2 linked regions of the Canis lupus familiaris genome follow. The protein of the gene in region 2 interacts with the protein of the main gene of each other region in a biochemical or structural test. Links are inferred from orthologs where the notes say so. Each region holds a gene or a part of one and is shown on either strand. Other genes may lie near its edges. The genes, in order: DR1 and DRAP1.

Region 1 (7,606 bases), on a different chromosome or scaffold from region 2:
GGCTTAAGTATGGAAATCCAAGTAAGCATTTTGGAACCTTCACAGCAAAACTGTAACTATGTGGGGTGATGGATGTGTTAGCTGACCTTTTTTGTGGTATCATTTCACAGTATATACATATATCAAATCACTATGCTGTACACCTTAACCTTACACAATGTTACGTCAATTATTTCTCAATAAAGCTAGGAAAAAAGGAAACTTCATAGCAACTTGACCGTTATTTTATATCTATTGAATCTAACAACAAAAATTGAACTTTTATTTATGTCTTTTTTAATTTTGTTTTTCTAGTGATTCATTTTTATTATATTTCACAAAAGTACCAGTGTGAGAAGAACTGGAATTTTAAAAAATCCTTCAACATAGATAGCTTGGAGAACACAACTGCTAAAACAGCAAACCTTCAGAGACTTTTTCAAGCTTTCATTACTTTCAGTTACTATTATTTTAAATGTGGGGTGGGGGGATGTAGGAGGAGGTTAAAAATGCAAAAAAATAATATCACTTAAAATATCCTTATTTATACTTTGGCTTTACAGATGGCATCATGCTTTAAGATTAAACCTAACAGACATGTTTTAATCAGTACCATTACACATTTAAAAAACTGTTATTTATTACAGCATATCATGGAAGATTCTCAACCTTGATTAATTCTCAATAATTGCAAGTGATACCTGAAACAATTAGGTATTATTTATACATAAAAGAGGAAACCTTTCATAAATGTGCATAAGGCCAAACACTTTGCAGTGTAGAACTTGTCACTCTTAAACTCTCAATGTTAGTTCTTTCCATAATACAACAGAATGTTAAAACTCATTTACAAATATGTGTTCACAGAGGTGTCTGGGAGGCTCAGTCCTTAAGCATCTGACTCTCCATTTTGCGCAGGTCATGATCTCAGGGTCCTGAGATCAAGCCCTGTATCAAGGCTTGAGATTCTCTCTCTCCTCATCTCCCTCTGCTCACTGTCCCCCCCAACCCCCCCAACCTTCTGTGCTCACTCTCTCTCTAAAATAAATAAATAAACCTTAAAAAAGAAAGAATATGTGTTCAGGGAAACCAGAAATGAAAATAAAAGGAACACCTTTTACAGCTTAGAATTGCTTTGTGTATCTGTGATCCTCATTACCAAGTTCACTTTCTTAAACTCAAAATAAGCATAACATTTAGAAATTTTAAAAAATTTAATGACTTCAAAGATTTATTGGCAAGAAGATTATTTTGACTTTAGTAACTTGCATTTTACAGAACTGCCCAAAATGCTTACTTTGCTCTGACAAGGTAAAGCAAAGTAGCAAGGGAAAAATGACATGTCTTAAAGCAAAATCTAGTTCATTAAACTTACTACTCAAAAATCTGAACTTCAACATGTGAGATTCATACAACTTTATTTTTTTTAATTTTTTTTTAAGATAACCCATCCAGGTTTCTTTTTTTTTTTTTTAATTTTTATTTATTTATGATAGTCACACAGAGAGAGGGAGAGGCAGAGACACAGGCAGAGGGAGAAGCAGGCTCCATGCACTGGGAGCCCGACGTGGGATTCGATCCAGGGTCTCCCGGATCGCGCCCTGGGCCAAAGGCAGGCGCCAAACTGCTGCGCCATCCAGGGATCCCTCATACAACTTTAAATGTACTAATTATTCCATTTGGATACATCCTACATACCAAAATAATTAATGCTTACAAAAAGCATAAAAAATGTTGTAACTTCCATGTTTTTGCAAGCTTTCCAGGGTTAATCTGTAAAATACATTTTTAACACTTTTTAAAAATATATATACATTTTTTAAAAATGTAACCACTCAAGACAAAAATTCTTTAAAATGATTACGCAATGTGAGATTAACATAAGATTATAAATGTATAAATTTTATTCCCCTAACTGGAGAAGAATTTGGGGCAAAAATGGTAGGTCCTTTTCTACTTAACAGCAATGTTACCAAAAAAAAAAAAAAAAAAAAAAAGGGTAAATTTATAAGACTAAAACAGGTCAATGGATGATTTTTTAAGAAAATTAATCAATCATCCCCAGTACACAAAGGAAAATGAAAATGCTTTCACTGGAACTTTCTGACTCACATCTTAAACTGAATTTAGCATATTCCAAAGTTGAGCTAGTTAGCATACTGCTCACTACAGCTGCACTTTTATTCCATCATGTCAATCAGAAATCTAAATATATCCCAGAAAAGAATAAACTACCCAAGAAGACAGACCGTAATGTGTTATTAGATTTTTGGAATAATCCCCACTTCTGTGTTGTAAACAAATGTTTAAGCACATCCTTTAGAAATCTTGTGCAATTTTCATTAGAAAGGCAATGTTGATAAAAGATTTTTTCTTTTTTACGAGTTGTAAGAGGAAATTACAGCTATCTGTGTTGGATAACCTTATGAAAGACTTATGACAATAGTACACACAATGTAAAAATAAAACACGAAACAAAAAATAGAGAACTTGACTTTCATTGTACTTGCCAGAGTGTTCAGCACACCAAACAAGTAGAAAACACTGGCTTTAAAATCAAACATGGTTTTTCCTAGAGATTTTTTTTTTCTCCTCATGTACAGGAATGGAAATGGCAGAGTATACTTAAATCTATCTTCCACACATCATTAAGGACCAAAAATGAATCATTTCTTTTGTCAATACTGATAGTAAAATATTGGAGATGGTAAATACGAGCAGATGTGTTCTCTACTTCAGAATAACAGGAAAGTCACCTCTAAAAAGTTAAATTATAAATTTAAGAATAATTATAAATTTAAAAATTATAAAAAATAAATGCCCACTAATATGATTAAAATTAATCATTTTTTCTGACTTCAAAAGCAATCAAAAAATTTTTAGATTTTAATTGAATTATTATAAAAGGCAAATTACCGCCTCAAATTGAATGCAACTTTCCCATAAGAGCATATGTGCTCTCAAAACATTATGACTAGTAAATATGTCTCCCTAGCCTGAAACAAACCATCAGAATGTGGTCCCCCACGTCCTTACTATTGGACTAAATCCTTTCCAAGATAAGAAAGGGTTGAAACTTCCAAAAATGCTGTTCAATAAAAGCTTAAGTGTATACAGCTAAATGGGAAAGGCAGCAAGAAAGGACAGAGAAATGTTCCATGAAAAATATCTTTTACAACCTTTCAATCCAAGCTTTAAAAATTTATCTCCATAGAGCAAAGCAAGCTACACAAAAGAAAAAAACTACGAAAGAAAGTGAAAAAAGAAGGAAAGAGGAAAGAAGACTGGTTAACATGGTAGGACCACTAAACCATTTTTAAAGCAGAAAACATACTGTCTTTATTCAACATCACCAAACTTTACAACGTTGAACACATTTATGTTAAGAATTCTTTTACTCGTGTGTTCAGAAAATTCATCTTTTCTTCTACATTGCTGAAAAGACCGCATGGGGAAGGGGTGCTGTCTCCACTCATCCTTGGAAGTTCCCGTGTGATTTTTCCTTTTCCAAGGGATAACTCTCTGTGTTCCTTTCTCAGTTGTTGTGATCGAAGGTTCCACTTTAGGCAGACAATTTCTCAGTCGTCACGTCTAGGTTCCACTTTAGGCAGGCATGCAGGCAAAATTCTTGTTGCTTCGGCTTACCTGGCCGTCAACCGAGACAATTAATACTTTATCCCTGGAGGATGTTGGCTGACCTAAACGCTTGCCATCCTTACGTGTATTCGCTGGATGAAAAGCACCACCACGAGAATACTACCCAGGAGTTTCTCAAGGCATCGGCTGCTTCCATGCCCGCGTGGCTTTTTCGTCTGCCAGTACTTATGTAGGGGAGAGGAATGAAGGCTTTGACGTGAATGGGTCCCGCAACTCGCGGGCTGTCCCCGACCCTCGCTTAAACAAAACCCCCACACGTACCACTTACCTTGTATGACATGCTCAGGTGAGATGGTCTTCTTTTCCGACTTGTTGCAAATCTCATTAGCTTCAGAAGATATAAGGTGAATGAATTCAGTGCAGCAGTTCACCACCAGCTCCCGGGCATCGTTGGCCACCCGGACGTTGGGGAGAGTCTCTTTGATCATCTTATTGATAGCAGCTCTAGGTATAGTGAGATCATCATCGTTGCCGGACGAGGAAGCCATCGTAGCTCCCTCTCGCGCGCGCCCCGACTTTTAAAAACTCCCCAGCTCTAGTCCACTATTCCGCGAAGAATTTTCAAAAGGCTGCCCTCAAAAGTGTGATCCCAGGAGCGCGGAGAATGAAGGGGGGTGGGGGTGGGGGTGGGGGGTAGGGAGGAGCCGGTTCGTGAGGGTGGGGAACACCCGTGTGAGAGATTTTTTAGGGCGAGACCGGGAAGGAGGTCGGGGTGCTGAGGATGGTCGGGGCAGCGCTGTCCAGGTCGGAGAGAAAGCCAAGGTGGTCCGGAAATGTGAGCACTGGGGAACCACCTTCGTGTCTCCTCCGAGGAGCGGGCGCTGTCGCCTAACCGGTCCCCAACCGCGCCTGAGGAGAGGCAAGGTCCGGGGCACTGGCCTCACCGCGGTACCGGGCAGCCACCCAGCGGGCTGGGCGCTACAGAGCCGGAGCCCCAGCTGCCGCCGCCGCCAGCAGCCGCTGCCGCCGCCTCAGCCAAACCATCCTTCAGACACCCGCGCCGCCGCCTCACAACATGTCGGCCGCAGCCGCTGCGGGAGCCGTGGCGGCCGCCCGGGAACGAGTACGGACAGAGCCGGGCACCAGGGGAGCGACAGTAGCGGCCGCCGTGGCCGTTTAGCCCGAACGCAGATCGTGGAAGCCGAAGCCGCGGCAACGGTGGTCCCTCCAGAGGCCAAGGAAGAAGGTTTGCTGGAAGCCTCTCCCGACACCCTTTGCGCTACCGGAAGCCTCACCCCCCCTCCGGCCCCCCCTCTCCCTCGCAGACCGACTTCCGGGTGTGGCTGCAGCCCTTCCCCCACCCGCCCGCGGCGGGAACGGTCCGGCCTCCCCGCCTGCGGCTTCCGCCTGCCGTCGTCTCTGCACGCGCCCGGGGACCCTGCCCCTTCGCGGGGAGCGGAGCGGGGCGAGCGCGCGCTGGTACCTGGGAGCCCCTCGGCACGCGCCGGCCCGCCACGCGCCGGCCCTCGGGCTGCCGCGCCCGGCTTGGGAGGGGGCGAGGGTGGGTCCCCTCCGCCGCCCCTTAACCAGCTGTGGCCTCGAAGCTCTCCCCCAGCCTTGTTTGAGGAGGGAGCGCCGGATTTCATCTCCTTTTAGGAGCCCAAATTGGGGCTGAGAGAAGGAGGCCCGGGCTCGGGAACGAGATGTCGGGAAAGCAGAACGTCGTGTGCCCGTCTACATCGCCAGGAGGAAACGCTTTTGTGATGACACCTAACAGACGTTGTTCGGATCAAAGCTCTTTATGGGCCTTTACCCATTTTCTTGTTTTATGGGAAATGAAACCTTCAGAGAAGTGACTTGCTAATAACCAAGCCAGAAACTAGAAGTAAGATCCCATGTAGTAGAGCGGACAGTGAGCCACGCTAAAGAGGTTCCCGCTTAGCCCCTTTTCATGGTGTGTTGAACGTTGGCTGCTGGAGAGGGTGAGAAGGAAAGTGGGTCCGACCATCAAGCACCTCTCATCTTTGCTTCTCTCCAGGGTGACCTGTAGTATATGTCAGAGTCTTCACAAAGTTTGTCATCCGTCATTTGGAAGAAGAGGTTATATTGTAAAACAGTGGGGTGTTGCAATTTCTATTTTTGTGTGTGTGTGGCAATTTTTTTAAATTTATGTTTTTTTTAAGATTTTATTTATTTATTCATGAGATTTATTTATTTATTTTATGATAGAGAGAGGCAGAGACACAGGCAGAAGGAAAGCAGGCTCCCTGCAGGGAGCCCGACGCGGAACTCGATCCCAAGACTCCAGGATCACACCCTGGGCTGAAGGCGGCACTAAACCGCTGAGCCTCCAGGGATCCCTGTGTTGCAATTTCTTTTTTTTTTTAAATTTTTATTTATTTATGATAGTCACAGAGAGAGAGAGAGAGGCAGAGACGTAGGCAGAGGGAGAAGCAGGCTCCATGCACCGGGAGCCTGATGTGGGATTCGATCCCGGATCTCCAGGATCGCGCCCTGGGCCAAAGGCAGGCGCTAAACCGCTGCGCCACCCAGGGATCCCGCAATTTCTAAACACTAAAAGATCCCATTTAATTCGCTTTGGGCACCTTCATCAGATACATTGTTCTTGATACATTGGATAGCAACTGGTTTGTTTTAAATGTTTCCTTAAAACTTTTATTTCCTAGGATTGAAGATCCTACATGTGGCATCTGGAGGAGATCTTAGTTATCTACCCTTTTTTTTTCATTTGGCAGTTTCTTCAGTACACTTGTGGTTTCTTTAATTTTTGAAATATAGATGCTTGTTTTTCAGTGCAACTAAGTTTAGTCAAAACAAAATTTCTTTGATAAAGCAGTATTTTTAAATTTTTTCAAAACAGGAATGTGAAACCCTTGCCTCATGTTGGCTCTTGATGAAGTGCTTTTGTAAGCCAGTTAGTTTACTGTCCACTTAAAGAGTTATATTGTCTAAATTTATCTTGGCCTTACCAAGTTTATTAGTCTGAAAAAGCTAGCTCGCAAAAAAAATGTCCCCAGAGTTAACACATTGTCACTGACCCAAAAAATGTCATAATGATAATTTTGCCTTTTTATATGACATTTGTGCTATAGACTTAAAGACCTAATTATACACAGATCTGCAGAGCACATGTTAAGTTGTTATTCCGGTAATAGTTTTTTACTATAGGTAATGAACTATAGTTTGTAAGCATGAAATATGTAGTAAAGAGACCTAGGTTACAGTCCCAGTTTTTGTTACTTTAGACAGGTCACTCCCTGAGCCTGATTTTCTTCAACTAGAAATGGAAATATTATATAACACAGGATTCAACATCAAATGAGACTGTATGTAAAAGCACTTTTTACATTATGATGAATTAATATGGATGTTAGTATTCATTATTATCATCTTTATCAGGTCTGGGCAGTCTTCAACCAATAATAAACCAGTACATAATACAACTGGAGAGAAAATTTAAATATAAATAGTGTGAGATGTTGGGGTGCCTGGGTGGCTCAGTCAGTTGAGCATCTGACTCTTGATTTCAGCTGGTCATGATCTTGTGGTTGTGGGATTGAGCCCCTCCTCAGGCTCCACGCTCAATACAGTCTGCTTATCCCTCTCCCTCTGCTCCTGTGCTCTCTCTCTCTCCCTACCTCTCTCTCTCAAACAAATTAACAAATAAAATATTTTAAAGAAATAGCATGAGATGTCATGAAATATACTAACCTGGATTCCATATTTAAGTTGTTATTTATAGTACAATATATCCCTAGTGTAAATAGGCCCTTGAAAACAAAGATAACATCTCCATAATAAGCTTAAGAGTTTTAGAGAGAGTGAATATAAATGAAACATTTCTTTCATGGTATTCCAAGATTTATGATATGGAAAAAAAAAAAACATAAGAGAGCTATTTCTTTTTTTTTTTTTAAGAGAGCTATTTCTTATAATGAGGTAGGCTAACTCAATAGTAGTTCTCTTAAAATGTGTTAATCCATAGCTGCCCAGGTTTTCAGCTAAAATT
Region 2 (7,465 bases):
TAACCAACATAGGTAATCACCAGCCCCATTTAGATGAGAAAACTGAGACCCAAAGAAGCTATAGAACTTGCTCAAGGCTAGCAGCATTTGAATCCAGGGCCTGGCTCCCGAGGGTACACTCATCAGCCCACTGCCCAGACTGAAGAAACAGGCCTAGAACACAGAGACCCAGGCCACTGGCTCCTGGGTATCTCCCCCTCACCTGTGCCTCAAGCCTTTTGTCTAGAGGCTGCTTCCAGCACCCTGGCCTCCTTGCCTTCCTCCTGTCGTCCCCCCAGCCCAGGCACTCTGAAACTTCTCAGTGCAGAACCTCATCTCTGGACACAGCCCAGCAACCGGCTCCAAAGGTCTCTTCCTCTCCCACCCCACTCATCACAGTTGGCATGTGGCACGCCCTTAACCAGGGGTCCCAGGTGTCCACCTACCCCTGGACTGGGCCCAACTGACTGCTAGAGAAAACTGCTCCTGCTCTTGTGCCGCTGGGGACCGCTTCCCATTCATAATCCCCATCAACAAGAACTCTTCCAGTTGCAAGTAACAGAAAGCCAGTTGGCTTTGAAGGAGGAAAACGTTTATTGGCTCATGTGACTAAGAAGTCCAAGGTAAACAGGGTTCAGGCAAGACCAGGTCCTGGTGTCATCAGAAATCCGTATCTCTGAACCTCCCAGCTCTCTTGCACTGACTTTGTTCTCAGTCAGGACCACCCCTTGGGGTGGGGAATGGCTTCCAGCAGCACCCAGCTTGCATCCTGCCAGCTTTGCTACCCCAATGTGGCCACTGTCACTCTCGTCAGGACTCCCGAAAGGGCTCCCTGCTGCCTCCAGTGCCATGGGAAAGCTAGCCATCTTGTCAAAATCCTTCTCCAATGGTCCCGCCTAACGTCAAGGGCTCAGGCCTGCTAGGATCACGGCCCAGCCTGCCCGATTCACTGCGGCCATAAGATGTGGTGCAACATCCATACCCCCTAACTTCAGGGAGTGGGATCAGCTGCACATACTACAGGTTGAAGAGAAGAGAGATGATCCCAAAAAGACAGCAAGGGCTCTACAACCAGACGAGAGGCAGACAGGACCCAGGTGCCCCTAGGCTCCAGGTGCCCGGGCCCTTCCACACTGCCACCTGGCCTCCTATGCCCCAAAGAAGTCAGACACTGTTACATAAAATCCGAATACCTCAGGGCACCTGGATGACTTACTTGGTTGAGCATCCTCTAACTTTGGCTCAGGTTATGATCCTGGGGTCCTAGGATCACGTCGGGCTCCCTGCTCAGTGGGGAACCTGCTTCTCCCTCTCCTCCCCACTCCTGCTCTCTCTTGCTATCACTGCCTGTCTCATAAATAAATAAATAAATAAATAAATAAATAAATAAATAAATAAATAAATAAATAAATAAATAAATTTAAAAAATGCAATACAACACAACACAAACCCTGAATACCTCAGGACTCCTGCCAAACCCACTCATCATCCTCCACTTCCCCCTGGTCAGGCCAAGACCAGCCTCAGGCAAGCTCACCTCACTGCATCAGTCTCCCTCCCTCACTACAGCTTGCATTTGTGTTATCTTAGAAAACAAAACCAAAAATTGTCTTTCTGTCCTCACTCTGAGCCACGGCTCTCATCTCTGCTTCTCAGGCCTGAGTGTCACTTTCCCACCTCAGCTTCTCACCTCCAGTTCCCTCATCAACCATCACCCAGCTTTTCCTAAAGCCTCCAAGCTGTTGTGACAGCTGCCTACCTCTCCCTCCTCCGACACACTTGGAGGCACCCCCAGTGCCCAGGGGCGGGAGGCAGGGGGCACCTGGGTGTGGCTGCTGTCCAGTCTCCCTGGGTGGCCTGCCCAGGCCTTCCCCTCTCCCCCTGGGGTGAAGTCACTTACTCTCAAGGCTCACACATTTGTCTCCAGTCCCCTACATGCCAGTACCCATCCTATGCCTCTCCACAGCAGCTTCACAGGCACTCCAAACTCGCCACAGCCCAACTTGTGACCCTAACACCTAATCCTGCTCTTTCTCTGTGTCCTCCAGCTGGAACAGGGCCCCTGCCCACGTCACTATGGAAAGAAACCTAGCAGTCCCTAAGGGTTCCCTCCCTCTCAGCCCCACAGCCAGTCAGTTTGCCATACACTTAGGTCTACTGAGAACATACACCTCAAGTCTACCCACTGTCCACCACATCTTCTGCCCAGCCTCACCAAGCCCCTGCTCCCTGAAAGCACACACCTGCCTTGGGGACCCCACGATTCCAGGGTCTACTCAGAAATGGGAGTGGACTGACCAAATGGGTCACTCTCCTGCTCAGAAGCTGATCTCTGAGGCCCCTGACAATCCCACCTGTCTCTGCTCCCACTGCCCCTTCCCACACGCCCTTCATGGCACCAGGCACAGAGCTCTATAGCTTGCAAGTCCTCTTCCCATTGTTTGTCCAATCTGTCTATTTGCAGTAGCCCGGAGTAGGCAGAAAGATCTCTACCGGGGAGATAAGGAGAGGCCACTCAAAGATAGGAACCTTGCCAGGGTCACACAGCAAAACAGGACAGGTCATCCTCCAGCACAACCAGCACCTCTGGCTCCAGCCCTCCACCACCACTCTGCCTTCTGTCAGCACCCCTGCTCCTACCCTGGCAGGACCATGGCCTCTGGAGCCTCCCTCACTCAGCTGCTGCCCTGCCTACCACCACTTCTGGCCTCAGCTCAGCATGGGGAAAACAGGTAGATGGATGGGGAGGTGGCCACAAAGCCCTGGACATAGGCTGGGACAGACACTGGTGTTCCCTTTTATTAATTTTTTAATAAATTTAAGAACAGCTCTATCTTCTCTCCTCCCCCCAGAGCAACTAAAACCAACTAAAAGGGGGTGTGGCCTGGGGGGGGGGCAGAGGCCGCTAGGAGTCATAGTCCTCTTCATCCTCTGCGTCAGGTGCTGAGGGGCCCGGGGGTGCTGGGGGCAGAGGCAGAGTCGAAGTGAAGGGCATGAAGGGTGTCGGGGGGCTGCAGGGCAGAAAGCAGAAGAGAAAGATCAGGCCCCTTGCCAGTGCCCACCTACCCCACCCTTGTGAGCATGGAGCCCCCGGCCTTCTGTACCCAGGGGCAGCCGAGCCCAGAGAAGGGAAGAACCCAGAGCAGGTCACACAGCTCCTGCCCAGGCCCCCTCCAATGGGGCTGGGTGGGGGTAGGGGAGGGGATCTTCTGACAGCAGCATTCTGCCTTTAAGCCCTCCTCAGTTCCTCCCCTCTCATCCACCAAATCTTCCACAAACAACAAAACCAAGTGGCCACAAGAGCAGGCCAGCCTTGAGGAGTCTGCTAGCCTCATCTGGTGCCACCAAGCTGATTACCTCTGAAAGTGGGCAGGGGGATGGCCAGCCTGGGGTGGCGCCTGGGGTGCCTCCTCTTCTCCCTCAGTGTCTGTGTCCTCAGACTCATCCTGGGAGCAAGGCAGGGGTCAGAAGTGACAAGAAAAGCATGAGCCCATCACTGGCGAGCCTAGATCCCTGGGAGCGGCAGGGACAAGACATTGAACTCTCTAGCCTTAACTTTACAGCCCTAATTTACAAAAAACCATAGGTGAGGATGGGTCCGGGTGTCCAGCCAGCATGCTAGGCCAGATACAAGACCACCCCCTCCACACCACACAGTAGACCAGAGGGCTGCGGGCCTCACTCACCTCTTGCTCTGAGTCCGTCCCTGACAGCTTCTTGTCCTTGCTTTTGCTTCCCATCCCACCATTCTTCCGGCCACTGCTGCCTGGCTTCCGACCCCTTTGGGAAGGTACAGTCCATCTGCCCAGAGGTCTCACCATCCCTGACCACCCCCTCCCAGTCACCCCCAACCCCAGTTGGCCTTGGCCTTCCTTGCCTGGACACCTGGCCCTGGCTCCCCACCTGCGGGTACCCTTGTCCCCATCCATGTGGTTGTCTTCCCCGTCTCCCTGCATGTCAGGCACAGAGGCCACCAGATCCTTTAAAAAGTCAAACTGCTGCTCCAGCTCAATGCACTGTTTCCTGGAAGAGGTGAGGAGAAGATGGAATTCAGCTGGGGCCCAGATGTCTGGGTTCTCAGCAAGGGACAGCAGGAGATATCAGGAGATGGATATCAGGAGGATAGAGCCTGGAGAACCTCCATCCCATCTCCACTACGGAACCTGCTCGCCTTGCTACACCACCCAACCCCTCCTCCCCCAGTTCAAACCCACCCATATTCGAGGCGTTGCTGGTCTCCCAGCAGCCTCCCACCTCTCCTAAGTGTGTGAACTCCTGGGGCAAGGTTCCACTGGGCCCAACCAGCTCCCAGGCCACTCACAGGTGGGATGTGGTCATGGTCTTGGCGTTTCGGGACTGGGTCACCTGGCAAGCCTTTTTCAACAGCGACTCTAGGAACAGCTCGAGCGCCCGGGCTGAGGAGCGTCAAGGAGAACACGGGTGGGGGATCCCCAACCTAAACAAGGCGACCCCGGGCTCCCTCCCTACCCCAGGTCCCTCAACCTGGCCAGGCCCCGACAGGATACAGATGATGACAGGCACTGCCGCCGCCACCTTCCCAATCTCTTCGTCAGTTTGCATGATCTTCTTGATCCGCGCCTGGGGAGGGGGCAGAAAACTCGGACCCTGTCGCCTCCATCCCCGAAAGGGGTGCTGGGGGCTAACGAGAGAGGTTCTCCCGGGAGAGAGGGCTGGGGACCCGGACGCCGGGAGGGCACGGAAGGGGGCGGGGCGTTCGTACCCCGAACACCACGGTGCGCCCGCCCCCCCACGCAACCTCCCCAAGCCCGGCTCGGGCCCGAGCCTCCAAAGAGCCCGGCCCGCTCCTCGGGGGCCTGGCCACGTGCTCACCGGCGGGAACCGCGCGTTATACTTTTTCTTCTTGCTCGGCATCTCAGGGCCTCTCTCGCCACGCCGGGCCCAGCGCCGCCGCCCGCAGCTTCCCGGCCCCCGGGCCTGCTCGCCACCCGCCTGCCGCGGTTCCCCCGGGTCCTGGTGCCGCCTGCTCCGCCCCCGCCGCTCCCCACGCGGTCCTAGCGCCGCCGGTCAGGACGCCGCTCGCAGGGCCGGAGCGCCCTCCCCTTGCGGCCTCCCGGGCGGTGCGCGTCGATCCGGGACCGGAGCGCCGCTCCCGCCGGCCCCCAAGCCTAGGAAAGCGAACGTTAGCCCCGCCCCCGAGGCCCCGCCCCGCCCCGCCCCGGTTCCCCTGGCGGCCCCGCCCCCGGGGTCAGTCCCTCCCCTCGCAGGCCCCGCCCCGCGGCGCGGGCGACAGGCCCGGCGGCCCCGCCCCGTGCTGCGCTTGTCTATAAAGTTGTTGTTGAGGCGGCGGGCGCTAAGATGGCGGCGGCGGCAGCCGTGGCGGGGGCGGGGCGCGGCGGGGGCGGCGGCGGCGGCGGCGGCGGCGCGGAGCCCCGGCAGGAGCGTAGCCGGGCGCGGGGCTGGGCCGGCGCCGAGCGCGGCGAAGGCCGGAGGTGACGGCGGGGCTGCGGGAGGGGGCAGGGCTGGGCGGGGGCGCGGCTCGGGCTGTGGGCGCTAATGGCGGCGGGCGCGGCGGGCCCGAGGCTGGCGCTCTCGTAGGCTCTACCAAGCCTGGGTTCCAGTCCGGCTGTCGCCCCGTTGGCCTTGGACTGGTCACGGCTCTTTCCGGGCATCAATGTGCTCGTGCTCAAGTAGGCCCGACAGCGCCAGCCCGGGGGTCTGGTCCTGCTGGGCCTGCCTCGATGCTACGCGAAAGTGCGCTTCTCTGCCTCCCTCCGCTGAATCCTGCGATCGGGATGCCTGCCAGTTCCGGGCAGGGCCGGGAGGTGTAGCTGGGCTGGTTGCTCCCACACCTGAATTCACATTTCGGCCCCTGTCACTCATTGCAGGTGTGACCTTGGGTGGGTCACTTCTCCCTGAGCTTCGATTTTCTGGTCTGTAAATTGGGGAGAGTGGTAATAGCATTAGTAATAACCTTTATGCAGCGCTTATTCCACCTTAGGCGTTTAATGCTCCATAGCTCTACGGGACAGGAACAGCTTTTGTCCACTGTAAAGATGAGGCAGCTGAGGCACCAGACCTTAAGTCTTGCCTAAGGCCACGGAGTTTAAGCCCATTGGCTGCACCAGCTAGGGCCCAGCACGTTGTACGTCTGTCCTGGACCTGCTCTAACTCTGTTCCTTCATGGCAGGATGGAGCCAGGTGAAGAGATGGAGGAGGAAGACTCTCCAGGCGGCCGCGAGGATGGCTTCACTGCTGAGCACCTGGCCGCAGAGGCCATGGCAGCTGACATGGACCCCTGGCTGGTGTTTGATGCTCGCACCACACCTGCCACCGAGCTGGATGCCTGGTTGGCCAAGTACCCACCATCCCAAGTTACTCGCTATGGGGACCCTGGCTCACCCAACTCTGAGCCCGTGGGCTGGATTGCAGCATATGGGCAAGGCTATGTCCCCAACTCGGGCGATGTGCAGGGCCTGCAGGCAGCCTGGGAGGCTCTGCAGACCAGCGGGCGGCCCATCACACCGAGTACCCTGCGCCAACTGGCTATCACCCATCATGTGCTGTCTGGCAAGTGGCTGATACACCTGGCACCTGGCTTTAAGCTGGACCACGCCTGGGCTGGCATTGCTCGGGCTGTGGTCGAGGGCCAGCTTCAGGTGGCCAAGGTGAGCCCACGGGCCAGGGAGGGTGGGCGCCAGGTCATCTGTGTTTACACCGATGACTTCACGGACCGTTTAGGTGTACTGGAGGCAGATGCAGCCATCCGTGCGGCAGGCATTAAGTGCCTGCTCACCTACAAACCTGACGTCTACACCTACTTGGGCATCTACCGGGCCAACCGCTGGCACCTCTGCCCCACTCTCTATGAGAGTCGTTTTCAGCTGGGGGGCAGTACCCGTGGCTCCCGTGTGCTGGATCGCGCCAACAATGTGGAACTGACCTAGTGTGGCCAAGTTGGGGGAGACCACGTTCTGCCCCCCTCCCACTCAGCTCCCTGCTACGGTTGGATCCTCCTGTCTTCCTCCTCTTTGTCCCAAGGAGTTTGAGCCCCCTAGCTCTGAGGACCAGGTCAATCGGAAACTGCCTGCATCTTTGGTCCCTTTGAACCTTTGCCCTCTGTTCAGGGCTGACTCAAGTTCCCACCAGCTGGAGGCTCTGGCTCCCTGAGGGCCGGACCCTCAGCCTCTCTTTTCACTGCTGCTCCCTTCTGTCATCCAGGACCATGGGCTGGGTACAGATTCCCAGGAGGAGAGCCTTCCTTAGCCACCCTCCTCCCCAGGTGTACCTCCCTCTCCTGCATCCTTTCCTTCTCCTCCCTCACAAGAGAGAAAACTAGTGCTTCCAGTCCCTCTTGGAGCCTTCCTAGTCCAGGGGGCAAAGGCCCTGCAGGCCTAAGCATGCTATTTTGGGGGTAGGGTGGGGGAAGGGTGATTGTACCCACTCAGCCCTTGGCAGAGAGAGGGGATGCCAGGGCCATGGACATGGGTCCTGCCCCTCCCTGCCA

What was found.
Region 1: the proteins of DRAP1 (region 2) and DR1 form a complex in vitro, tested with the Homo sapiens proteins (2 studies listed by BioGRID). The link is inferred for Canis lupus familiaris from reciprocal best matches to the Homo sapiens genes DRAP1 and DR1.

What each region holds. Positions count from the first base shown.
Region 1 is NC_049227.1:56,204,837-56,212,442, forward strand, and holds the start of DR1 (protein Dr1), read right to left. Parts: upstream 4,206-7,606; 5' UTR 4,125-4,205; coding exon 3,905-4,124; intron 1-3,904. UniProt on the Homo sapiens protein: The association of the DR1/DRAP1 heterodimer with TBP results in a functional repression of both activated and basal transcription of class II genes.
Region 2 is NC_049239.1:51,849,759-51,857,223, forward strand, and holds DRAP1 (dr1-associated corepressor), read right to left. Parts: upstream 4,993-7,465; 5' UTR 4,873-4,992; coding exon 4,831-4,872; intron 4,579-4,830; coding exon 4,506-4,578; intron 4,395-4,505; coding exon 4,301-4,394; intron 4,003-4,300; coding exon 3,883-4,002; intron 3,760-3,882; coding exon 3,666-3,759; intron 3,493-3,665; coding exon of another isoform or gene 3,426-3,492; coding exon 3,337-3,425; intron 2,991-3,336; coding exon 2,885-2,990; 3' UTR 2,754-2,884; downstream 1-2,753. Other genes in the region: C18H11orf68 (UPF0696 protein C11orf68 homolog), read left to right, coding at 5,317-5,450, 6,149-6,905. UniProt on the Homo sapiens protein: The association of the DR1/DRAP1 heterodimer with TBP results in a functional repression of both activated and basal transcription of class II genes.